3 linked regions of the Canis lupus familiaris genome follow. The protein of the gene in region 1 interacts with the protein of each later gene in a biochemical or structural test. Links are inferred from orthologs where the notes say so. Each region holds a gene or a part of one and is shown on either strand. Other genes may lie near its edges. The genes, in order: TNRC6B, AGO2 and AGO1.

The links.
Region 2: the proteins of TNRC6B (region 1) and AGO2 form a complex in vitro, tested with the Homo sapiens proteins (3 studies listed by BioGRID and IntAct, with this or other methods). The link is inferred for Canis lupus familiaris from reciprocal best matches to the Homo sapiens genes TNRC6B and AGO2.
Region 3: the proteins of TNRC6B (region 1) and AGO1 form a complex in vitro, tested with the Homo sapiens proteins (2 studies listed by BioGRID and IntAct). The link is inferred for Canis lupus familiaris from reciprocal best matches to the Homo sapiens genes TNRC6B and AGO1.

What each region holds. Positions count from the first base shown.
Region 1 is NC_049231.1:25,842,864-25,850,783, reverse strand, and holds part of TNRC6B (trinucleotide repeat-containing gene 6B protein), read left to right. Parts: intron 1-2,122; coding exon 2,123-2,197; intron 2,198-3,067; coding exon 3,068-3,113; intron 3,114-4,384; coding exon 4,385-4,533; intron 4,534-5,754; coding exon 5,755-5,925; intron 5,926-7,920.
Region 2 is NC_049234.1:35,890,364-35,898,929, reverse strand, and holds the start of AGO2 (protein argonaute-2), read left to right. Parts: upstream 1-3,017; 5' UTR 3,018-3,049; coding exon 3,050-3,071; intron 3,072-8,566.
Region 3 is NC_049236.1:6,333,555-6,341,474, reverse strand, and holds part of AGO1 (protein argonaute-1), read left to right. Parts: intron 1-1,222; coding exon 1,223-1,417; intron 1,418-3,086; coding exon 3,087-3,221; intron 3,222-3,762; coding exon 3,763-3,864; intron 3,865-4,400; coding exon 4,401-4,600; intron 4,601-4,839; coding exon 4,840-4,948; 3' UTR 4,949-7,920.

The sequences.
Region 1 (7,920 bases):
CTCAAACTACAGAGCTGTTGCTGTGAGTAAAATGGAATTTTCAAAGACAGGAGATTTTTTTTTTACTTTTAGTTTCCATATGATAATAATTCTTTGGAAGCTTTCAAGGCACACTTTATAAATGTTTTATGCTTTTGGATTCTAAAGCCAAGGAAGTCCTTAGGGTAGTCCCCATGATATATAGAAGAGAAACCAAAGAATGACAGCTTTTCCAGTGGCAATCAGCATGACTGGTTTTTATCCGATTCGGGAGATTCCAAAACCCAGAATCATTCTTCCAACAAAGTGAAGTGCCAGTACATAACCCTACTGTAGCAACCAAATGATTTATCTATATCCTGTACCAGGTTGTGTTGTAAAGTCACTTTCCAGGGCTCCTGAGTGGCTCAGTTGGTTAAGCATCCGACTCTTAATCTCAGAGTTGTGAGTTCAAGCCCCATGTTGGGATCCACGCTGGGTATGGAGCCTACTTAATTAAAAAAAAAAAAAGGAATTAAGTTGTCATTTTCCATGTCTTAGAGCAACGCCGTTTCTCCTTTGATTTGCATAATTTGATGAGGACTTTGGTTTCAGTCTAGAACAAGTCTTTGAACCTGAACCGTTCTCCCAGCAGAGGCATTCTTTCCCTTCTGCAGAGAAATTGATGAAAATTAGAAATAGGCAGTCATATATTTAATTTCAACATGGGAGCCTTGCTGCCCCATGAAACACTTCACAGTGAATATTGTCCTGGTTTCAAATACCAAGTACTGTCCTGGAAGGTCTTCAGTCAGCTAAGGGGGTTATGCCTTTATCCCCTTTGCTGTAGGATATTAATGTTGTTCTGCATACGGTAACTTGATAGCCTAAACACATAGGTTGTTTATCTTGGAGGCATCCTGTTTAAGCAGCTAGTTACAATTTCCCTTCTAAGGATTGCTTTGCCTCCCCCTAGTCACAGATGGAATTAATCCGTAAAATTCTCAGTATCTTTGTACTCGCCTGTTATCTGGCTTGTTGTGGCTTTTTTTGTCATTTACAAATTCCCAACAAGACAGAAAAAAAGACAGTTGAGGAATACTGCTGATTGACAGAAGTGAGTGAAGGAAAGGTGCTGGCCCACTCAGGTGGCCCTGAGACATAACTGATTCAGCTCAGTTGAAATTTGGCATTTCTGCTCCACAACTGACAATTCTGACCTTTTGTGTCCAAGGGCCTTTTTTTTTTAACTGATTGTGATCAAAGACAGATAATGTAAAATTTACCATTGTAACCATTTTTAAGTGCACAGGCAGTTCAGTAGTGGTGATTATATTCACGCTATTGTGCAACCATCGCCACATCTAGCCACAAAACTTTTCATCTGCAAAACTGAAACTGTTTGTATTAAACAAAAACTACCAATTCTACCCTCCCTACAGTGAGGGCTTTTTTGACCTTAAAACCTGTGACTGAACTTAAGTGAACTTATTCACTTTGAAGAATAGTAAAATCAACATAACAAATATCAAAACAGTTTTTATTTGTAGAATGTACAAGTAAGCAAAGCCCCATCACCCCATCCCCACCAACTCCTCATCATTGTTCCACCTACCTTCTCCATAGAAGTAAAAGTGGAGCTGGTGTTGGATGTCCTATTCTGGGGAGAAACTAGTTTGTCCCTTAAGAAACAAAAACTCAGGGGCTCCTGGCTGGCTCAGTTGGTTAAGCATCTGCCTTTGGTTCAGGTCATGATCTTGGGATCGTGGGATTGAGCCTCGTGTAGTGCTCCCTGCTCAGCAAGGAGTCTGCTTCTCCCCCTCTCTCTCCCCTACTTGTGCGTGTGCGCGCTCTCTCGCTCTCTCTCTCAAATTAATAAATAAAATCTTAAAACAAAATAAAACAAAACACCAGCTAACCATGTATTTTTCCAGTTCTAACTCAGTGTGACGAATCAAATAAGAATGAAAATATAGATAGAACTAAAGCTTATTACTCTTTCAGACTAATGGATAAAATATCAAAATAACCACAGTTAAAGAGGGAAATTTGGGCTCAGAAAGGTAAACTGTTGGTTCTGCATTTTCAATCAGTACATAAATCTAACTGATAAGAAGTGAGATAAAATAATTTGGTTCTGAGGTTATGTATTTCATTTCTGTAGTGCTCACTGAAAGGAGGAAACAATGATTCATGGATGAATCCTCTTGCCAAACAGTTTTCAAATATGGGATTGCTGGTAAGTTTCATTTTCTTTTATGTGTAATACAGCCCAGCTTTTACTTTTAGTACAAATGTGAAGACCGCTGCCACTAGAGTACAACATTACAGATTTAGAAACTGGTTAAACAGTGTTTCTGATTTGGATTTAGCAGTATTTGTCCTCTATTCTTTTATTCTTAATGAAATACTCCAATATTTAAAGGCTATGGCTTTTGAATTTGTAGTCCTTGTGTCCTTTTCCTTAAGTGGTTAGGGGCAGAAAGAGCCAGGCCTTAAAACTTACGTAACGTTCCCTGACTAATACTGTACCAGTTTTCATATTACAGTTTTGAAAATAGCAGCAACAATAAAATAAGTAGGGGAACTATTTGTAATTAATTATATAGGGAATTCTTGTAGGATTTCTCTCTCTCTCTCTGTCTCTCTCTCTCTCTCTTTAAATCTCTCGGGAACATTGTGGGACACCCCATCCCTAGTTGCCAAAAGACAGATAGCTTGACTTGGCTGCACATTTCCAGATTTGATGACTGGACAAGTCACGAGAAGAGGTTGTCATCATTTGGCTGACACTCGTGGAATTTGATCCTGAGCCGACTGGAACTTATTTCTCTAAGCAGCTATTTAGCTATTGCTCTGTCCATAGAGTTACTGAAGCTAATTCTATGTGAAAATTGAATGTGGGAATATGGACACCGTAGGCAATAAAATTAGTCACATCATCAGTGATCTTGTCTTCATTCCAGTATAAGGTTTATGTCAAAGGACCATGTAGAGTACCAATAGTACGCCACAACTCTCACGTAAATAATGCCATTTTTTTATCTCTCTCATACAGATGTTGCAAATTCAAACCTTTAATCCTCCCTCCCTGTTGCTTCTTTTTCAGAGTCAAACTGAAGATAATCCAGGCAGCAAAATGGATTTGTCTGTAGGTGTGTATCACTCTACTAATATGAATGGGTATATTGTGATTAATGATGTTATATTGAAAAAAAAAATGATGTTATATTGGATCCCTGCTCAGCTTGAGTTGGGATGGGTGCCATTCAGCAGACATAAAGGACCATCCTGGACACTAGGGATTGAAAACTCAAATAGTTGCGGGATCCAGGAAAGTAACAAAATGAGTGTCATGTACCAGGTATAAGAAATTGGGAGTTGAAGGCCACTGGTTAGCTGTCGGGGGAATATGTACCATCTCCAGGATAAAGGAATCAGCCTTGCTCTGGCCTTAACAGTTGTTGCCATGGAGAGTAAGGGTTCAGCTTTGTCAGAGCTTCCAGTTGGCGAGCGAGGCCAGAAATTCAGACATAAATTGACATCCTGATTCTTAAATATTGGAAACTAATTCAGATTTTAAAAACTAGTGTGTGGCCAAAGTATGTCTGTGGCCCTGCCAGACTCTGTTCTCAGGTTGGTAGTCCTGTCTGCACTGGAATGTTTCATTATTGATGAGTTCTCCCACCCTAAGTGGAGCAGTTGCCATGTTAGCCCCTAGTCTGTGGGATCGTCACCATGATGCTATTGCTCACCTTGAGGAACTTAAAAAGAATCAAACCAAGGAAAAAGGAAAATAGTCCTAGGTCATAAGGGAGATAGTCTGATCTATGATATTTTAAAATCTAAGAGTGACGAAAAAATGAGTTTCCAGGGGCACTGATCATGTCAGTATATAATAGCAAATTTCCAGAGCTGTGAAGAAAAGGAGTAGTAGTCATGGTACTTGGGAAATCTCTTGTTCACTTAATGTGCCCAACTCTAAGTTTTAAATTCTAGGGCAACAGCTATGCCTCTTAGGCCTTTTTATTCTCAATAACTGTGTCACAACCCCACCCATTTATCTAGCAGATGCTAAAACAACAGCAGGAGACAAACTCTCTCACGAAGTGCATTTGATTTTATGAGTGAGTTATAGTCATCAAACATGTCAATAACCAGTGGAACTATTTTTTTAGTCAGATTTTTACCAGGTTGGCCCTAAATCTCTCTTTCAATCTTCCATTGAAAACAAGCTACAACTGACACAAGTTTTTTAAGAAGGAACAAAAGGATCCACACGTGCCCCTGGGGGCCTGAACCAAGAGGATCCCTCATGGTCTTATGCCCAGCACCTCAGGGAGAAGAATGGGACCGGTACCCCCCCCACCCCCATCATGAGGGAGATATTTGTTCTTGAAATTTTCACTTCTGTGTTACTTTTCAGGGAGCCTTCCAGATAAAAAATTTGACGTGGACAAGCGAGCAATGAATCTCGGGGATTTTAATGATATCATGAGGAAGGATCGATCTGGGTTCCGTCCACCTAATTCCAAAGACATGGGAACCACAGATAGTGGGCCTTATTTCGAGAAGGTGAGTCAAATCCTTTAAGATAATTCATGCGAACCACTTTGGTTCCCATTTGTTCTTTTGATAATTGATTCCAGGAGGAAGCACAGAGTCACTGAATTAATTAATGAGCAAAACATAAACATCACCTGCATTTAAGTGTTGACATGAAAACAGTTGATGTCAACAGGTGACTAGGCAGAAGCTAGAACCATCTGTCTGTAGTATGTGAGTATTATGAAGAAGGTCTGAGTTTTTAGAAATTTTATGAAGTTTGGAAGGGGGAAATAAATGGTCTGACTTTTTATAGTGGGAATGCGAAATGTGTGGAAGAAATTTTAGAGACCAATTTATTCTGCTGTACAGTGAGAAATTAAATTTGGGATATCGTGCAGATAATTCGTATCTCCTAAGGCCTTCCCTTCTAGCTTTGTTAAGATGTTCCAGAACGTTCTCTTTTGATATTTCTAAGAGAGTTCCTTTGTTCTTTCTCCATTTCTCTAGTGACCTATTGTGAGTTATAATGGTATACTGTTCAAATTCTCAACCTGATTTAAAGAAGTCATGAATACCTATTTGTTTTTGATTCTTGTCTTTCCAATTGGAGGAAATAATTCCTTGATTCAGAATACTGATTTGTCATGGCCCTGGTCTTCAGAAAGCAATAAAAACCAAAAGTTTGGGCAGCCTGGGTGGCTCAGCGGTTTAGCTCCGCCTTCAGCCCAGGGCGTGATCTTGGAGTCCCAGGATTGAGTCCTACGTCAGGCTCTCTGCATGGAGCCTGCTTCTCCCTCTGCCTGTGTCTCCCATGAATAAATAAATAAAATCTAAAAAAAAAAAAAAAAAAAAAAAAAAAAAGTTTTTGATCTGGCAAATTTTTGACGTTATTGATAATGCTGTTTCAGGCAGCAACAGATTCATAAGATTACTCTGGCTTTTGTTTCAGCAGCCACATAGAGTAATCAATATTAGATGCATAAAAATTCAGAGTCTGGCAATTTTTATCTTAGTGCAATGGACAGAATGTGTTACTTAGAGGATAAGAAAAAATCCATATCAGAGGTGACAGATGGTGTCTGTTGGGCCAAGTGTGATGACTCTGATCAGATCCAAATTCCATCCTCGTTTATTGCTAATACACTCTAACTCTGTTTGTTCCTAGTGTTTCTCTCTTGTCCCTTCTTGCATTCTGTTGCTTCACTAACCAACACTCATTGTGATTGGCTAACTCCTACTACTTTTCAGCTGACTTTGCCTTTCTCCAATCAAGATGGGTGCCTTGGGGATGAGGCTCCCTGCTCTCCCTTCTCCCCTTCTCCCAGCTACAAGCTGTCTCCCTCTGGTTCCACACTACCCAACGTCAGCCTTGGAGCAATCGGCACAGGGCTCAACCCCCAAAACTTCGCTGCTAGACAAGTAAGGAGGCCTCTCAAATTTATAACTGCTTGACTGTGGCCTTGCCTTGGCCCTGGTCTGCAGTTCATTGCATCATTTGTCTGTCTTGGGAAATTTGTTGATTACTGAATGCACAGAATGATACTAAGTATAGGCTTTAGATCTCTCAGCCCGTAGAACCCATCTCTCTTCATATTTTCTCAACATGGATTTTATTTTAAATTTGTTTCTTTCGTCTTCTCATTTTTGGTCCTAATTTCACATTTAAGAAGTTAACTAATAAACTGGCTTAGGAAAATGTTAAGGAGGCTACATAGGTACCTTACGTCATCTAACTTAGCAACGGATTTGCCATTCTTGACATTAGATTGAATGGCAAGTGATACTTTTGAAGTCCTTTTGATTTAGTAAAACTTCTAATTAGAAAATAGCAGCAAAACTAGTAAGAGTAAATACTTGAGCTTTACAGCATCTTAAAATCTAGTGTCTTTAAGTTAAAATATAGTCATTACCCAGGGAGAGGTAATTTGATAGAAGAGCTTTGGGAAGCCTGGATGTTGCTCAGACATGGCGGTTCCATCTAGCCTGGAGCTGCCCATTTCATAGGGGTGGCCTCAGTCTTCCTGGGAGGGGCTCTGCACCAAGAGCCAAACTGGCAGGGCTGGCCCCTGAGGCCCCCTCACCTTCATAGGCCTGATGCAGCACTGCTGGCCTCTGTTGCCCCACAGCAGCTCCAGGGTGGTTGTCGGGGAGAAAACCAGGAATTTGGAGACAATTCCCTTGTGAATGGTGACTGATGATATATTCCTAGCCACAGTACTGTGACCACTGACCTGTCACTGTGACTCTCACCTTAGGATGTCATGGAAGGACTTTTAATTATTATATCTATTTTGTTTCCACATGCTGACTTTCACATTACAAGTGAAAAGATATATAAAACATACCTTTAGTCCTCCACATCATAGTCCTCCAGGTGTACACAGGTCTTTCATATGCTTTCTGATTATTGCTTTAGCACATGTTAAAAATGGATCATATAATGTCCATGTGTTCAGTTGGTTTTTCTAGTTTGGGCGTTACGGGTAATTTCTTGTTTTCTTTTTTTATATTTCATTCTTTTTCTTAATGTTTCCACAGAGGACATAGACGTGTATTGCTTATATAAACAGAGAAGAAATAATTATATTCATGGTTTTGGGCAGCTCATTTGTTTCGGACTGAGGTATAGAAAATATAAAACAGTCCTACCTCTCTTGATTAATGATGATTACAGACGCCTACAGGATTGCACATTTATCAAAAGCCTTTAGTATATAATTTTTAGTATAATAGACCAGCCATAGTAGCCAGCACTGGACTCTAAGAAAAGATCATTCCTCTTTGGGTGTTTTTAATCCTAAAAATGGATTGCTACAAAATCCATTGTGAATCTAATGGGTACACGTTTTATGTAAATATGGTCATGGTTCTTTTATGCCATTTTCATGCAGACTTAATATACTTCATAATTAAAAATTAAAACGTAAGATTTTTATTTTCAAGTGACAGATTTTCAGTGAGTTTGAAAATAGTTGAGGCAGATATCACCAATAAATACTAGGATTCAGGTCCCTGTAAAAGGGTTTTTATTTAGGGGACTTATATACAACAGTGGAGCTCTAGAAATAACCATATTTTTAAAAATGGAAATAACCAGATGAACATTAACATATGTAGAAGCCATAAACTTATATAGAAGCATTTGATGACCATTTTCCTAATTTCTAAATACAGTTTTTTAAAAAATTGTGTGTGATTGCCACTAAATGTATTACTGTGCAGAATAGTCAAAAAAAATGAGTAGCAGTGCCAACATTCCATATTTAAAAAGAGAGAAGGTGTTTTTTGATAGACTCCTGTTGACTCATCTGTACTATTATCCATATCAGACATACCTATCATAGGGCTTGATATGACTTTAGAGACACTTGATAAAGATAACCTAAAACCTCTGGGCGATGGGGCAGCATGACA
Region 2 (8,566 bases), on another chromosome or scaffold:
GGAGACGGCGCCCCTCGCCGGCAGGGGGCGCGCGCGGTCCCCGCCGAGTCGCGACACAGTGAAGCGACTGGGAGACATTATGTTGCCCGACCTCTTGCACTGGACCCCGTGCAACAAAGTGCAACAAAGTTACCCCCGCGGCGTGTGCGCGGAGGGGCCGCTCTGGGGCCGGGGGTGGGGGGTGCAGGGAGGGGGAGGGGAGGGGGCCGCGGCCGGGGCTGGAGAGGAGGGCAGCCTGCGGCGGGAGGCCCGGGGGTGGGAGGCGCGGGGGGACAGTCGGCTGGGGGCCTGCTGAGTCACAAGCAGGAGACAGAGGACATCATGGTTATTTTTTTTTTTTTAAGATTTATTTACATGAGAGACACAGAGAGACAGAGGGGCAGAGACACAGGCAGAGGGAGAAGCAGGCTCCGTGCAGGGAGCCCGACGTGGGACTCGATCCGGGTCTCCGGGATCACGCCCTGGGCTGAAGGCGGCGCTAAACCGCTGAGCCACCCGGGCTGCCCCCTGGTTTTTATTTTTTAAAAGATTTATTTATTTGAGAGCGAGAGCGAGCACACAGAGGCAGAGGGAGGAGCCCACTCTCAGCCAGGGAGCCCCCAGGGAAGGGCCTCGATACCAGGACAACAGGATCCTGACCTGAAATGAAGTTAGAGGCTTGGCCGAATCAGCCACCCAGGTGCCCCTCACCGTTATTATTTTTTTAATGTTTTATCGTGAAACACAGAGGGTACAGAAAACATATAAACAAACCAATGTGCAGCTTGGGATGTGCAAATGAGCAGCAGTCTACTGGAAGGAGCATTTCCCGCAGGTCAGCAGCCTGCACAGCCCGCCCGTGGCCAGGGCACCCCACCCCACCCCACCCCAGCACCTACCACTTTGACTCATGGTGACCACCTTCTGGCTTTCGCTCAACTTTTTACCAATAATGTACCCCTAAACAACGTAGTTCAATTTTGCTTCTTTTGTAGCTTCTACAAATGTAATCCTGCAGCCTGGGCCTCGGCCTCTTTCACTCAACACCCTGGACACTCATCCGTGTTGGAGGGGGTCTTCATTTTCATCTCTAGGTTTTACTTGAGGAGGATCCACCCGCCTCACAACCCGCTCCAGTGCTGGTGGATGCTGGGTGGCGCACCCAGCCCCCTTCCTCTGCTCCCAAACATGCATTTCAACGGCTCGTCCACGTAGGGCCAGGTGTGAGCTTTTCCAGGCACTACCAGACACTTTCCTCCCAAACCGCTGGACTGATTCACACTCCAGTAACACTCTTGAGAAAATGAAGACGTGGATCTGAAGAGCCTGTGGAAGGTGAAGTGGAAGATCCTGACCAAGCAGGCGGGGCCTGCACCCCGCAGGGCGTCGTGCACCAAGTTAAGGATTTCGGACCCTGGGCAGATGGAACTGGAGAGCCCACGAAGGGCTTTGAACAAAGCAGGCACGCAGTCAGGTTTGGGATCACACAAAGGGGACTGCTGGGTGGAGAGCCGGCAAGGGTAGTTTGAGGGGCTTCTCAGGGGACCCAGGCCAGCTTGAGGGGTGGGGGTGGTCAGCAGAGGACCAGGGAGGGATGCATGAGCGCCTGGGGGCTGATGCCACGGCACCGACCCCATTCATATCAATGATGTGAAGATCCGTGTCCCTTTAAGTTTCTCTCTGGAGGAAACCATGGTTTTCTGGCATTTATTTAGGGATGTTCTTGAGACTTGCAAAGCCTGCTTAGGATGCTAAGCTCCTTGCAGGCAGGGCTCTTGGTCTTTGCATCACCCTGGCAGGAGGAACACTCAGGTCCTCGCACCCAGTACGCAGGTAGCACACGTTTATAGGATGAAGGAAAGCGCAGGCGGGTAGGTTACATCGGCGACCAGCGAGTGTGGACTTCGTGTCACCTTGAGACTTGTAACCCCCATCAACGAGGAGAGGGAGGGGGTAACCGCGGCCGGAGCCGGGGCCCGGGTGGGGGCGAGGGACGGCCTCCGTGAGCACGGCGGGGAGCACGGGGCGGGGTCCCAGAGGCAAAGGGCGCGCGCCCGCCCTCCCGGCGGCTTGGCTTGGACCTCACGCAGCTAACACGCGCCCCAAACTCACTGTTCAAGTTTTTTTTTCCATGACGCTCTGGGCTCCCGGCCGGGAGGTGGCGGTGTGGTCGTGCGCAGGCCCCGCGCCTTCAAGTTCAAGCTCCGGGCTGGGCGCGAGCTTCCCCACGGTCGCCTTTCGGTAGTAACTTGAAAAACCAGGCAGGCGGGGAGGCCGGGGCCGGGGCCGGGGCCGGGGCCGGGGCGGGGACGGCCACAGCAGCCGGGCCGCTGGGGGGCGGGGGGGCGCGGGGGGGGGGGGCGCCGTGCGCCGCCCCCCCAGCCGGAGCGGGCGCCCCATGCGAGGAGGCGGCGCGGACACCAGGGGGGGCTTCTGCTCTTTTCTTCCCGGCCTCCGGCGGCGATGCCCCGCGGGCCCCGCTCCGCCCAGGAGGGGAAGACGGCGCCCCCGGAGCCGCTGGGAGGGGCCCCGCCCCGCCCCCGCGCCCCGCCCCCGCGGTGGGGCCCCGCGCCCTCGCCCCCGCCCCCACCTCCACCTCCCCGCGGGGCCCGCGCCCGCCCCCCCGCCGGGCTCCCGGCCGCCCGCGCGCCGCCCCGCCCCCTCCTCCCCCTCTCCGTTCTCCCCTTCCTCCTCCCCCTCCTTCCCCTCTTCCCTCCCTCCCTCTCCTTCGCCCCGCCCTCCTCCCCCTCCCCTCCCCTTCGCCCCGCCCTCCCCTCCCTCCTCCCTCCTCCCCTCCTCCCCCCCTCCCCTCTCCTTCGCCCCTCCCTCCCCTCCCTCCCCTCCCTCCTCCCCTCCCTCTCTCGCTCGCCCCTCCCTCCCTCCCTCCCTCCCTCCCCCCCCGCCCGCCGCCTCCGCCCGCCGCCCCGGCCGCGTCGGGTAAACCTGTTTGGCGAGGCGGCCGCGCCGGGGCGGATCGTGCGGCCGGCGGCTCCCTCGCGGCTCGCGGCGTCGGGGCCCGTGGCGCGCGCGCGGCCGCCCCTCGGCCCCGGAGCCCCTCGGCGGCGCCACCATGTACTCGGGAGCCGGCCCCGGTGAGTCCTCGCGGGGGGCGCCGGCCCGGCCGCTCGCGCTCGGCCCCGCGGCGGCGGTTGGCGGGCGGGGGCGCGGGGCGGGGGCGCGGGGCGGGGGCGCGGGGCGCGCGGGCCTCGGGGGGCGCGGGGGGCGCGGGCGAGGCCGGGGCGCGGGGCCTGCGGGGCGGGCGGCGGCGGGGCCCCGGGCGGGGGGGCGGTCGTTCCTCGGCCCAGCGCGGGCGCGCAGCCCGGCCTCCCTCCGCGGCCCGGGTCGTCGGGGCGCCCCGCGCGGCCTGGGCCTTGGCGCCCCCCGCGCCCCGCGCCCCGCGCCCCGGGGGCCCCGCGGGTGGAGCCGGAGGCCGGGGCCGGGGCCGGGGCCGCGCGGCCCGCGTGTAGGCCCGAGGCCCGCGCCCGCCTCGCCCGCCGCCCGGCCCGGCCCGGCCTCCCGCGCCCCCGGCCTGCCCGCCGCGCCCCGGGGGTCGGCGGGGACGGCGGGGACGGCGGGGACTGCGGGGCGCCGGGGCGGGGGCGGGGCGGGGGTCGCGCCGGGTCGCGCCGAGCTCGGGGTGCGGGCGGCGGGGGCCGGGGACGCGCGGCTGCGGAGCCAGCCCGAGCCCGGCGAGCCTGGGGCGCACTCAGTTTCGTTTTTCTCGTTGCCAGCACTTCTGCGGCCCCTTCTCTGAAGGAAAGTCTGGAAAGGCTGAATTGTGGCCAATTCCCGCGGGTGGCGAGGACTGTAGCCCGAGAGGGACGGGAAGCGGCACCTTAAAACCCTAAGACTGCGTGCGTCTCATTTTCATTCCAGACACGCCGGCTGCTTATTCAAGTGTTAATTGCCTTTTACAATTTACTAGAAGCGGGCGAGGAGGAGTGTCGGTTCCCTTAGCACCCCTCCTCGCCCGGCCGCTCTCTTTCTTTGCAAAAGTTCTAAAAAACTTAAAGGAGTAACACGTTTCCCCCCCTTGTTTTCGACGCACCGTGGAAGGGCAGCCGGGGTGCTGGGCCAAGAAAACAGTCAAGTGTTGTAAAGCTTTTTTCCTTCTCCCGCCAGGCACGTGGCTCCTAAATTTCCCGGCTGGGCCTGCCACTTGGCCGGGGCATCGCCTGTCCCCTTTGTCTGCCAGGCCCCGGCCGCTGCAGGCTTGCTCGGTCCCCTCGCTAGGTGTGCTGATGGGGCCCTGGCGGCTCCCGCCCAGACGTGCTCCCCAGCGGGGGTCTGGAAGCCCCCCCTCCATCCACTCAGGCCCCTTGTTGCCGTGGGCCCTGGCTGCTGTGTCTGTCCACCAACACTTCTATGCCTTGTGAATTCTGAGTGTCTTTTTTTTCCCCCCTGATGTCACTTAATCTAAAAGCTTGTCCAAGGCCGAGTTCCATCAACTTTTAAGCCTCTCCAGACTCTGGGCAGCTTGATTGAGGAATGGTTTTAATCCTGCATCTGGGAGGTTCCTCAGGCCTGGTGGGGAAGGGCCCTGGGCTATGTGGGCACCGTCCCGAGGGCAGATTTGGCTTCTTGAGACCCTGGGCAGGCAGGTCTTGGGCACCCCCCACCCCCCCTTACCTAGCCAAGCAAGGGGGGATCTCCCAGGAATCCCTGTAAAGGGATCCCAGCGAGTCTTAGCCACTACAGTGTGGATTTATTTATTTATTTATTTATTTATTTATTTATTTATTTATTTATTTTCAGATTTTCAGTTTAAAAGTTGAGGGCCCAGAAAAAGTAGAGAACCTTGAGGAAGGTCAGGCTTTGTGTTGTGTGTCCAGTTAACCCACAGGATGGCTCGGCAAATTGGTGATGTTCGTTTTGAAGGTAGACGGCAGAGGCTCACGTAGGTTAAGAACGTTGCCAAGGTCATGTGGCTGGTGAGCATTAGGATGATATGTCTGATCCCAAGCTGACTGTACACCCTCCTCAAAGAGGTGGTTTTCGCTCCTTTTGACCTTGACCCACACTAAGAAATACCTGTTACATCTCGACTGGACCGGTGTGCGCATGCGCTCGCTCAGGTGTGATCGAAACAAGAGCTTGGCGAAGCTCTGCTTACCCTGAACTGTGCGCCGGGGGGTATTTTTCTCGCATTTCTGTTTTCAAAAACCTGTAGCCCCCCCTGGATCTCCGGGCTCCTTTCTGGTCACCAACAGCTTTTGGAAGGATCTGGCTCTGCTGCGATTCTCTGCATTGTGGCGTGGTGGGGAGAGGGCCCCGTGGTTCGCAGATAAACCTGCCCTGGAATTGGACAGCTTTGGTTGAAAAATAAATGGGTCTGTAGGATAGTTCTTAAGCTAATGGCAGGATGGGAATGAACCCAAATTTCAGGCTCTGTGAGTGTGCTGTAATTATAAGGCTGTGTGCAGTTCAGTTTTATTCTATCCACCGAGGCTTTTAATTTGGCTTAAAAGGAGCTTTTGGAGTAGTTTCTTGAATGAAACTTTTTTTAATGTTATATTTCCTATTTTAGAAGAATGAAAAGATGCTCGGTCTGGATTGTAGAAAAATTACAAATCGTTTTGCTCCTTCCGATTTTAATACACTTATTAAGCGACGTACTGAGTAAATTGACTTAAAAGGTAGAGTTCGCAGTAGCTATGTGTTAGGCCCACGATAAACGCTTTCCACGTGTGAATTAGCGTTTGTGCTCTGAGGTTCGGTACGTCGCTACTTCTTACTATTCTAACTATTCGAGAGAGTTTGGTGGTTCCAGGTAGTGGGTTCTCCAGCGACCCGGAGCCTTCAGAGATGAACAGATTAGTTTGTTGTTGGGGTTGAATGTCAAGATCTGAAACTGTCTGAGGGATCCTGTTGGAAGGGGATTGTTTCTTTGGTTTCATAGTGCTCTAGCTACTGTGTGTTACAGCCCTCATGGCACTGCTACAAAGTAACTTTTGTGACCCAGAAGTCCTGTTTGAGAAGCCTCTAAGGGGATTGTGACTTTGAGCATCACTGGCTTTCAGTGAGGTTCCCGGTGCCAGTCAGCTCCTGCTTCCCACTGCTCCCCCCACCCCAGTTCCCAGCGGAGCAGCCTGGTCGCAGTGGTGATGCACCTTTGCCACACAGCAGGTGTCCCTCTGCCCAGTGGGGGGATGGAGGGAGGTGCTGCTGGCCGGAAGGCTTGGTTGGATCCGTTAGAAACCTCGAAGCACGTAAGTGTGTAGGGAAACACGACGTAAAAGTTGCAACTCCTCTGCCCGGTCTGGTTTTCAGAAGCACAATATTATTTCTCGTTAACTTCCAGTTTCGGTGTCAAAACTTTGCACAACGCCGGTGCGCACTGTGTTCTTTATAATGAGTGTTACGTGTGTTACCATATCCTGCCAGTCTGGTAAAATAAATTTTTGTTTCGTGAATTGTTACTACAGATGTTCAAAATGTAACACTTGATTTTGTTTTTAACAGTTTCTGTTGTGAGATAGTTTACACAAAGTAGAGCACCAAGTAGGACGTTCTCCCATTTTTCCGTCACTGAGCCTCTGACCATCGAGATGACCTGCATTGGTTTCAGATGGGCCCCTTTCCCCTTTTTCCTTTGTGGAGCTACTCGAGAGCCAATTCCAGATCTGTCATTTCACCCCGAGTACTTAAATACTGTGTCTAAAGAAGGGGGACACTTTGAACCCCAGGCCACTTTCACAAGTTTGTAATCACTTTCTCTTGTCTCAGAAGCGTGTTTATAGTGGGCTGTATGGATTGTGGGTTTTAATAAAAGTTCACCCACGAATTTGGTGGTGTGTCTTTGGGGCCCTCTAACCTGGGCTCTAACGCTGGGGCCCCTCCCCCGCTGTCCCCTGCTGCGGGCTGGCAGGGACACTTAGATTGTAAAATCCCTTTCCTTCAGAGTGTGTTTATCCTCCTCCCCTGTTTCCTAAAAAGAACCCTGTTGTTCGGGATCCCTCTGTTTTGTGGAGTGAGGCTGGTTGGAGACCCCCTTGCCTGTGGTTTTAATTCTGACACATTGATCTTAAGCCGTGTGTGTAGACAGACCCCTTTGCATCTGGAATTTCCTGTTACAGAAGAATCCTGGGTTTTTTCGTGGTGCTCTGAGCAGAAGGGAAGCTTTGGGGTGTGTAGAGAACACTGTGGTCCTTGGGAAGCTTGTGCATTTGTCTCTGCCACCCCCACCCCCCGAAGGTGGGGATGTCTCTTCCCCAGGTGTGGGAGCGGCTCTGCACATGGAGGTGGGAGCCGGGCTCCGTCCTCCGGCTCCTTCTGGCCCTGTTTGCTCCTGGCCGTTTCTCCAGGCTTCACGGCTCTCCTCCCACCTGTGTTAGGCGTCCTGGGTGGAGGAGCCCAGGTGAGGTGCCGTGGCCACTCTAGCCGGTGAAAGTATCACTGAACTGTACTGTTCTAATTTTCTTTCCCCTCGCTTTTCTCTTTCGAAGTTTAAAAAACCCGCCACCACTGGCTGGTCTCTGGGTCCTTACTCTCCATGACCGAACAACGGTGCCTTTCTAGTTTATCTTTCAGTAGAGCTGTGCCCTGGGTGACCAGACAGTTTGTCATCTACTCTGGAAACTTTTGCAAGTGAACTAGGGGTGGGTGTGGGTGGAGGGCTCTAATTATTTCCCTGAGACAGGGGAGTACCCCAGGGCCGCCTGGGCAAATCGGGTGGATGTCTCCCTGACTCACAGCATTTCTTTCATCTTAGGCTTGTAGACTAGCTCAAAAATAAAGGGCTTAAACGCTTGATTGATTGATTGATTGATTGTAAAGATTTTGTTTTTAAGTAATCTCTACATGCAATATGGGGCTCGAACGTGTGACCCCAGGATCAAGAGTCCGCACGTTCCGCCGACTGAGCCAGCCGGGCACCCTTGGGCTTACACATTTTAAAGGGTTTCACTCTTCAGTGGCTTTGCTCTTACTGAAATCCTCCTAAAGTCTGAAGGATGCAAGCACAGTCTTTGAGAAATTGCCACCAAATTGTCCCTACAGGGTGCCGACACTGCTCCCTCCGTCGCTAGCTGCGGACTGGAGGCAGCCCCCGCAAACTGCCTGCCAGCACTCAAAAAATCCCACCTTTTCACCTTCCTCTTCCGTCCCTCAAAGTCACAGCTCGAGCAGAGGACACAGGGAATGTCATCGGTGCCAGCGCTGTGCGTGTCCTGGGTCTCAGTTTCCTCATCTGTACATGGGGAGCTGGGCCTTGCTGGCTTAGGTCCCCTCGCATTTACGTCCTCTGGTGTGGTTGCTCTCTGCTGACTTCTGACCGGCTGGGGAAGGGGCTGGTGACCCCTGGGAACAATGTATGTGAGGGCCCAGGGTCCCTGACTCTTGATTTTGGGTCAGGTCCTGATCTCAGGGTCAGAGGATTGGACTCCATGCCCAGCGAGGCCTCTGCTTCTCCTTCTATCTCTGCCCCCCCCCCCCCCCCCGTGTGGGCATGATTTTTCTCTTGAGGGCTCTCTCTCTAAGATAAAAAAAGAGAGGGATCCCCGCATGGCTCAGCAGTTTAGCGCTTGCCTTTGGCCCAGGGTGAGATCCTGGAGTCCTGGGATCAAGTCCTGCATCAGGCACCTGGCAT
Region 3 (7,920 bases), on another chromosome or scaffold:
TTTAGCTCTGAGCTTCGAAGACTGCACATAATATCCTTGCCTCAGCTCTGATGCTTGACCCTTCATAAAAACTTTTTTTCCAGCTGATCATCCCCATTAACCACTCCCTTGGTATCTTCATTAAACTAACTCTGTATGGTATCTGTTTTTCAGAGAGAGCAGTGAGAGTGTAGGCGGTGGCCAGAGACTTTGACCAGTCTCCATCACTCTTGCTCTGTGTTCAAATTTCTCTCTCTCTCTCCATGCCCACTTTTGGGATATAGGAAAGACCATATCTCTTCTCTGAAATCCTTTTTAACGTGGTTACCTAGTTGCTGGGACTGACTGTTCTTTCCTCTTCCCCATCCCTACCCCTGATCCATCTAATAGATTAGTTGTCTTTCCAATCCCTCTCTAGCTTCTCTGCTCCCCATCCCTAGGGGCTTCTGAATTGCTAGGGATCAGGCCTTTCTTCCCACTTCTCTTTTCTCAACCCTCACATTTCTCTAGGCAAACGGGGCTAATCACAGTAAATGCAGGTAAATACTATGCTATGCTTATCCTTGTTTTCCTTGTGGCCGTCCATCCTAGGCTCTGGCCACGTCCCCTTTGAAAATGATATTACTCCTACCTCCTGCAGGAACACTCTTCATTGTGATTACTGGGTAGATTAGTACTTAAATTGAGAAAAGGACAAACTTGTAGCTCTTTGAGTTGGTAGTGCCAGACCTTCACATTACCCTCCTGCAAGGGGTAAGAAAATCGAACTTACCAAGTACTTACTGTGGGCTAGGTCTTATGCAAGGTGTTTTATTTTTTTTAATTTAATTTTATAGAAGATTTTACTTATTTTTTCATGAGAGACACAGAGAGAGGCAGAGACATAGGTGGAGGGAGAAGCAGGCTCCCCGCAGGGAGCCCAATGCAGGATTCGATCCCAGAACTCTGGGATCATGCCCTGAGCCAAAGGCAGATGCTCACCCATGAGCCACCCAGGCATCCCTGCAAGGAGTAGCACTGTAAGCAGGTGGCATTCTTATCTATTTGAGAGGAAAAAGAAGATCAGATGGATTAAATAACTTCTGCATGCATGATAGAGATTGAAACCAGGACTCATTGTATCCAAAACCCTACTAATTTGATTGCATAGTTTTCTTGCTAAGAAGCCTTCCCCAAATCCACATCCTAACAGTGTTGGGAGGGTGGAAGTTCTGGAGGCTGATCCTGCCTCTTTGATTGTTAGGTGGTAGGCAGTATGGATGCCCACCCCAGCCGTTACTGTGCTACTGTGCGGGTGCAGCGACCCCGGCAGGAGATCATTGAAGACTTATCCTACATGGTGCGTGAGCTGCTCATCCAGTTCTACAAGTCTACCCGCTTCAAGCCTACCCGCATCATCTTCTACCGAGATGGGGTTCCTGAAGGCCAGCTCCCCCAGGTAGGGCCCAAAGTAGGTGAAGAAAACCTTCACATTGGGGCCAAAGGGCCTAATGGGTGCAGAGAGTACTGCTCCCTTTTTTAAAGCTATTGGCATTGGGAGGTGGTACTTTGAGAGCTTTGCTAAATGGCAGTAAGGCCTAGGATGGTCCCTAGAATTTATAGTTCCTTTTTTTTTTTTTTTAAGATCTTATTTATTTGAGATAGAGACAGAGCACGAGTAGGGGGAGTGATAGAGGGAAAAGGAGAAGCAGGCTCCCCACCGAGAAGGGAGCCTGATGTGGGATTTGATCCCAGGGCCCCAGGATCATGACCGGAACCAAAAGCAGATACTTAACTGAATGAGCCACCCAGGTGCTCCTAGGATTTGTAGTTGACAAGTTCCTACATAGGTGATGCTGCTGGTTGGAGGTCACACTTTGAGAATTACTGCTGTTGAGCTTCCTTCAGAATGTTCCTCCTATTCTTTGTCCCTGCCAAGTCTTCATATTCTGTTGTTCAGAGTATATAATGAACTGGTTTCCTTGACTACCACTTAATATTAATACAGCTGTTATTTATTGAGCACCTCTTATGTACTATGAATTGTGGTAAGCACTTCATATGTGTTCTACTTAATGGTTAGAAAAACTCTATGAAATAATAATTATCCCATTTGACAGATGATGAAACTTGAGGCTTGGAAATGTTAAATGATATCTTCAGTGTCAACCAAGCTAAACAATGGTGGAACTGGGATTCAGACAAATTGGTGTGATTTGAGTTTATGCTCTCATCCATTTCTCAGTTTTCTCTAAGTCATCCAGTCTTCCCTAAAACAGCAGACAAATTTATACTATCATTTTTCTGTTCAGGAATGTCTAGTAGCTTCACATAGTCTTGGGATAAAATTCAAACTGCTTAGCAAAGCAATCAGGAGTTATTAAGCCCCTACTAGGTTTTTTATACTTTTACTTAATTAATCTGTTACACTTTTCACAACAGTTTTGTGAGGCTAACTTTAGTAGATGTGGAGAAAATGAGACTTAGGAGGTTAAGCAGCTTGCTAATAGGAATATAACTGAATAAAGCTTGGGTTTAAACCTAGTTCTAATTGATTTCCATTCCGTCCATTTTCTACCATACAGTTTTGACTCCCTATATCTGACTTCTAAGGCCACAAGGCAACTATTGCCTATGGTTATTTACTTGTGGGTTCTTCTTTAGCCCATTTTCTTATAATCCTGCTTCTTTGTAGGACTGAATTCATCTACTCCTTCTGTATCAATTCCTGAACTATGTGTCTGCTCTTCTCTGGTGATCTCAGCACTGTCTGCTCTTAGAGCTCAGGGGGAATTCCTATTATCCTCCTGATTCTGAAATTGACCTTACTTTGGGCATTGTGATATTAGTGATGTCTGTGTACTTTGGTTCTGTGTCTTTTTATATATGAACCAGGTGAGTGCTCTCTGCTGATGCCAGCCTCCCAACCAAGGTTTTTTAGCAACATATCATGGCAACTGAGTATAAGACAAATTTTACAGGAAGGCTCTGTCATCTGTGATGGTTGGGTGTCAGCTTATAAAGAGACTGAGCAAAAAGCCATATACAAATGGCAACCTCGTAGTTCACACAGATGTGACTTAGGAGAAGCTATATGTCTCTTTGTCTCCCTTCTCACTCGTGCCTAGATCCTGCACTATGAGCTGCTGGCCATTCGTGATGCCTGCATCAAACTGGAAAAGGACTACCAGCCTGGGATCACTTACATTGTAGTGCAGAAACGCCATCATACCCGCCTTTTTTGTGCTGACAAGAATGAACGAGTGAGTAAGAGATTGAGGAAGCCACTCATACCCTTATCCTGTGTCCCTTCTCTTAATATGGAAAAAGCCCTTGAGATAAATTTGGGGATTTAATCCTTGGTTTGTCTGTTGTCTCTGGCCCCTTCCCCCAGCTCTTGTCCTTCCCTTTTTTCCTTTTGTCCCCTCCTGCCTTTATAGTCCGGCTCCTTCCTCCTAGCTCCCTCACCTGTAGACCCCTCTATAGACCAGCTCCCAGAGAAGAAAAGAGAAGTACTATTTATTGAAGTTCTGTTATATGTCAGACACTGTACGAGGTGTCTTCCTCACAGCAGCCCTGTGAGGTAGGTATTATTACCTCCAGTTTAACCTCAAAAAAGTTAAATGACTTGCTAAAGTCACACAGCTAATGAATGGTAAAATCAGGTCTGTGTGACAGTAGAAGCCCATTATTTTAATATCTAATATCCTCTAGGAACAGCAACTTCTGCTTTACTTTTGAGATTCTGGTGGGCCAGGCAGACCTTGGGATCTTGGGATCTTGGTTGTCTTTGTCTCTATACAGATTGGGAAGAGTGGTAACATCCCAGCTGGGACAACTGTGGACACCAACATCACCCACCCATTTGAGTTCGACTTCTATCTGTGCAGCCATGCAGGCATCCAGGTAGCCGGGCTATGTCCAGGGGTTTCCAATGGGTCAAAAATGAATTGATTATTCCCATTGTCTCTAAAATATATCAGGTGTCACTGAGGGCATTCAGAACAGGATTATTCTCTTAATAAGCTTTTAGCGTATATGAACAGAAGTACATTTTGAGCATCTTAAGCAGGATTGCCCGTAACAAGGGTATTTTGTGACATAGGTAGCTTTGTGTGTGCGTCTTCCAACCCAATCACACTCCTTTTTTTTTTTTTTAAAGATTTTATTTATTTATTCATGAGATGCACACACACACACATACACACACATACACACACAGAGGCAGAGATACAGGCAGAGAGAGAAGCAGGCTCCATGCAGGGAGTCCTATGTGGAACTCCATCCCAGGACTCCAGGATCACGCCCTGGGCGGAAGGCAGGTGCTGAACTGCTGAGCCACCCAGGGATCCCCCACCACACTCTTAATAGTGATCCTATTCCTTAGCATTGGCCATCCCTTCTGCCCAACCTGGGGCCCCCTCACCTTCCTATCTTCCCAGGGCACCAGCCGACCATCACATTACTATGTCCTTTGGGATGACAACCGTTTCACAGCGGATGAGCTCCAGATCTTGACGTACCAGCTGTGCCACACTTACGTACGATGCACACGCTCCGTCTCTATCCCAGCACCTGCCTACTATGCCCGCCTGGTGGCTTTCCGGGCACGATACCACCTAGTGGACAAGGAACATGACAGGTGAGGCCTAGGATCAAGGTGGCTTTCCTTTAGCATCAGCCTCTGGTACTAGATCCTCTCAACTTTCCTTGGGCAGAAGGAAATGAATATTATATAATATGGTATCTTTGGGCTCATATGCCCAAATCTGGGTTGGGGCTTTCTCTTAACTTGGTATGGGAATTGGTACTCTGAATGGGGGAATGGATTAGCAGCAGCTCAGTGCACCAGGAAGGACTTCTTTCATTTTTGCTTTTCAGTGGAGAGGGGAGCCACATATCGGGGCAGAGCAATGGGCGGGACCCCCAGGCCCTGGCCAAAGCCGTGCAGGTTCACCAGGATACTCTGCGCACCATGTACTTCGCTTGAAGGCAGAACGCTGTTACCTCACTGGATAGAAGAAAGCTTTCCAAGCCCCAAGAGCTGTGCCGCCCAAATCCAGAGGAAGCAAGGAGGAGGAGGGAGGGTAGGGAGGAGTTCAGAAGGCCTTGTTTCCTTCTACAAAGGGGGCAAAAGGGTGGGGAACAGGGCCAGTAAGCCAGACCACCAGCCAGAAATCTTTGATGTCCACCTCATGACCCCCACCCCTCCACCCATCTTGTCACATCTGGCCCTGACCCCACTGGACCAAGAGGGGCAGCACTGGTGCCCACCATACACACAGGTGTCTCATGTGACTCACAGTGCTAAAGACTCATGCCTGACAGCTTGCTAAGGTCGGCTCTGCAGCCCCGCGGACAAAAGCTGGTAGGTTTGGGTTTGATACTTTAGATGGGAGAGTGAGGGGCTTGAGAAAGTGGGTGGGAGGAGGGAAGGATTTTTTAGGAGCCTTAATCAGAAAAGGTCTAGATTTGTTTAAGAGGAAAAACGAAACCAGACCCAGATCAATATTTTAGAATACTAGATGTTTTAATGGGTTGAAAATCCAGTTTGTAGGAAGATTTTTAATGCTAATGATTTTGGTTGCTCCTCCCCCAGCTGACACCCCTTTTTCCCTTATTCCTTTCTCTCTACTTTGTCTACCCCACCTTACACCTCCTCCCTGACAGACATCCAGCCCCTAGTAAGACTTAAGGCACTATGGCACTTAGCTCTGAAGTGACACGACCCTGTCTTCCTTCCGCCTACTGGTGGGTAACCAGTGCCTTCCCTGTAACGGTAATGCTGCAGAACTGCAACCTTTTGTACCTTTCTTTGGGGGGATGGGGTGGGGGTGGGAGAGGAGGTAGGTGGGGAAGAAATACCCCTAACCCAACAAGCCTCTAGCCAGAGCGCCAGCTACTTTGCATTCAAAGGAATTAACTTCCATATTCATTGAGCTTTTAAAAAGATCACAACCTCAAGATGGTTAAAGTCCATTGACATTTGCACTTTCAGACATGACAAGTCTAGGAGCTGCTGAGATGACTGGCCCTTGGCCTTTCCACTTGACGCCTCCTTTTCTCCCTGTCGTCGTCCCCCCCCCCCCCCCCCCAGCCTTCCCACCTGCCTGGGTCTGGAGTTACTTACATCGCATTTCTCATTCTTGGCTTCTTTTTTCCCCTGATGGTCAAGTCGATTATGTTTCAATATTTCTTAACTGGGGTGTCTTATAACAAATGATCTTTAGGTCTAAAATAAGAAAAAAAAAAAGAGCAAAAACTAAATGTTATTTTTATACCATAACTTGAGTCTGTTGCCAAAATCTGGAAATCCCTCCCATGCCCAATAAGTTTACATCCCAGAAACATTGAGCCATCAGAAGGAACTATGTACCTGACTTATTCTTTGGCCTGGCTAGGTAGGGAGAGTGGTTATCTCCCCAAGGTGGGGCTCAGGCTCCACCCTTCCCCTGTGCAGATAATATCGTTTTCTTGCTGTAGGCGCCCTCCTCTGCACTGCCCTGTACTCTTCCTGCAAGTGCATCTTCCCTTTCTCTAGACTGTTCTCTGACACTTTGGCTCATCCCAGATTCCAGTGTGTCCTGTGGACAGGCTGGGGGATTTTGCTGCTCCCTATCGCTTCTGTTTACACAAATGAATTTTTCCCAGTTTCCCACTAGGGCATGTGAGTGGGTGGCATGGGCCTTTGTTTTGTTTTGTTTTGTTTTGTTTTTGTCTCCCTGGATAAAGATGGGGTTTGGCTATCTTGCAGAACTGGAAAAGTAGGGGGTTTCTAGCTTGGTGCCTGCTGGCCTTGAGGCAAGGCCCCCTCTTTCCTTAACTGTTCATTTTTTTCCTATCCCACTGCTTGGGATGAGGAGTTGCAGCTTCAGTGTGGAAGTTCCTCTTTGTGAGGAGCCTGGGCTTGGGTTTGCCCCAATCTGGTGATGAAGCCATGACACTTTAGACCTAGCTCAGGCTTGGAGGCCAGTCTGAATCCTGGCCTGTGTGCTTAGAGCTACCATTTCCCCTCTCCAGCAGCCCTTGTACAGACCCAGATTTGCTATGCAAAACAGTCTATCCCAGGTTCTGTTCTGGTTGGCTACTTTGTTCAGCAACTTCACAAAACGTAGCACAAACATTGATTATGGAGAAGGCATCAGGACTGTTGAGTAACTCCTCCTCTACTTCTTCCCTACTGGCTACGGCATGGGATGCCCCATGGGCACAGCCCAGCTGAAGAACAGAATGGAGGGCTCTGGGAGGAGGCAGCTCACTGGAGAGCCTACATTCCTTACACAAGTGCCTAAAGAGAGTGATGCCAACACTCCATCTGCCCTGTCCATCGCCTTCATATAGTGTCTACTTCGTGTTCAGTCACCCTTTGGGGAGGGGAGCTCTCTTGGGACAATGGGCTCTGCATGTTCTCTTCTTTGGGTGCATTTAGGGGCTGGGATCAGGGCACTGTTCCTGGAGGGTCCAGTCATTCACCAGCATTTGCAAATATCCATAGGGAGCTGGTGGTAACCACCTACTCTCAGCAACAAGTTTATGTTCTCCTTTTTCTCTCTTTGCCTCACTCTCTCCATTTGGATTTTGAGCTGGGGCTTAAAAAGCATTTTTTAGCCCTTGGGCATTGCACATGCCATTCATGAAATAAAAAAGCAAGAGAAGCAGTTTGGGCAATGGCAAGAAAATGACTTCTTGCTCTGATTTCTTTTTTTTTAATCTTTGAGACTTGAAAAATATCCTTGACCTTGAGGATTATTCTTGTTTGAAAGATGGTGCATGCAGTTTGAGAAGTGGTGTTAGCAACAAGCTTTGGATTTCTTGGATTTGGTTAAGTGGTGCTTCTTACTTGTGCTCTGAGAAAGTGTTGGGGGGACCCCAGCCTCATCCTCTTGGACAGGTCTCTTGCTCCCTTCATTCTACTCTCTTGCCTCTCTTTTCTACTTATCTCTTTCCCTGTTGTCCTTTTCC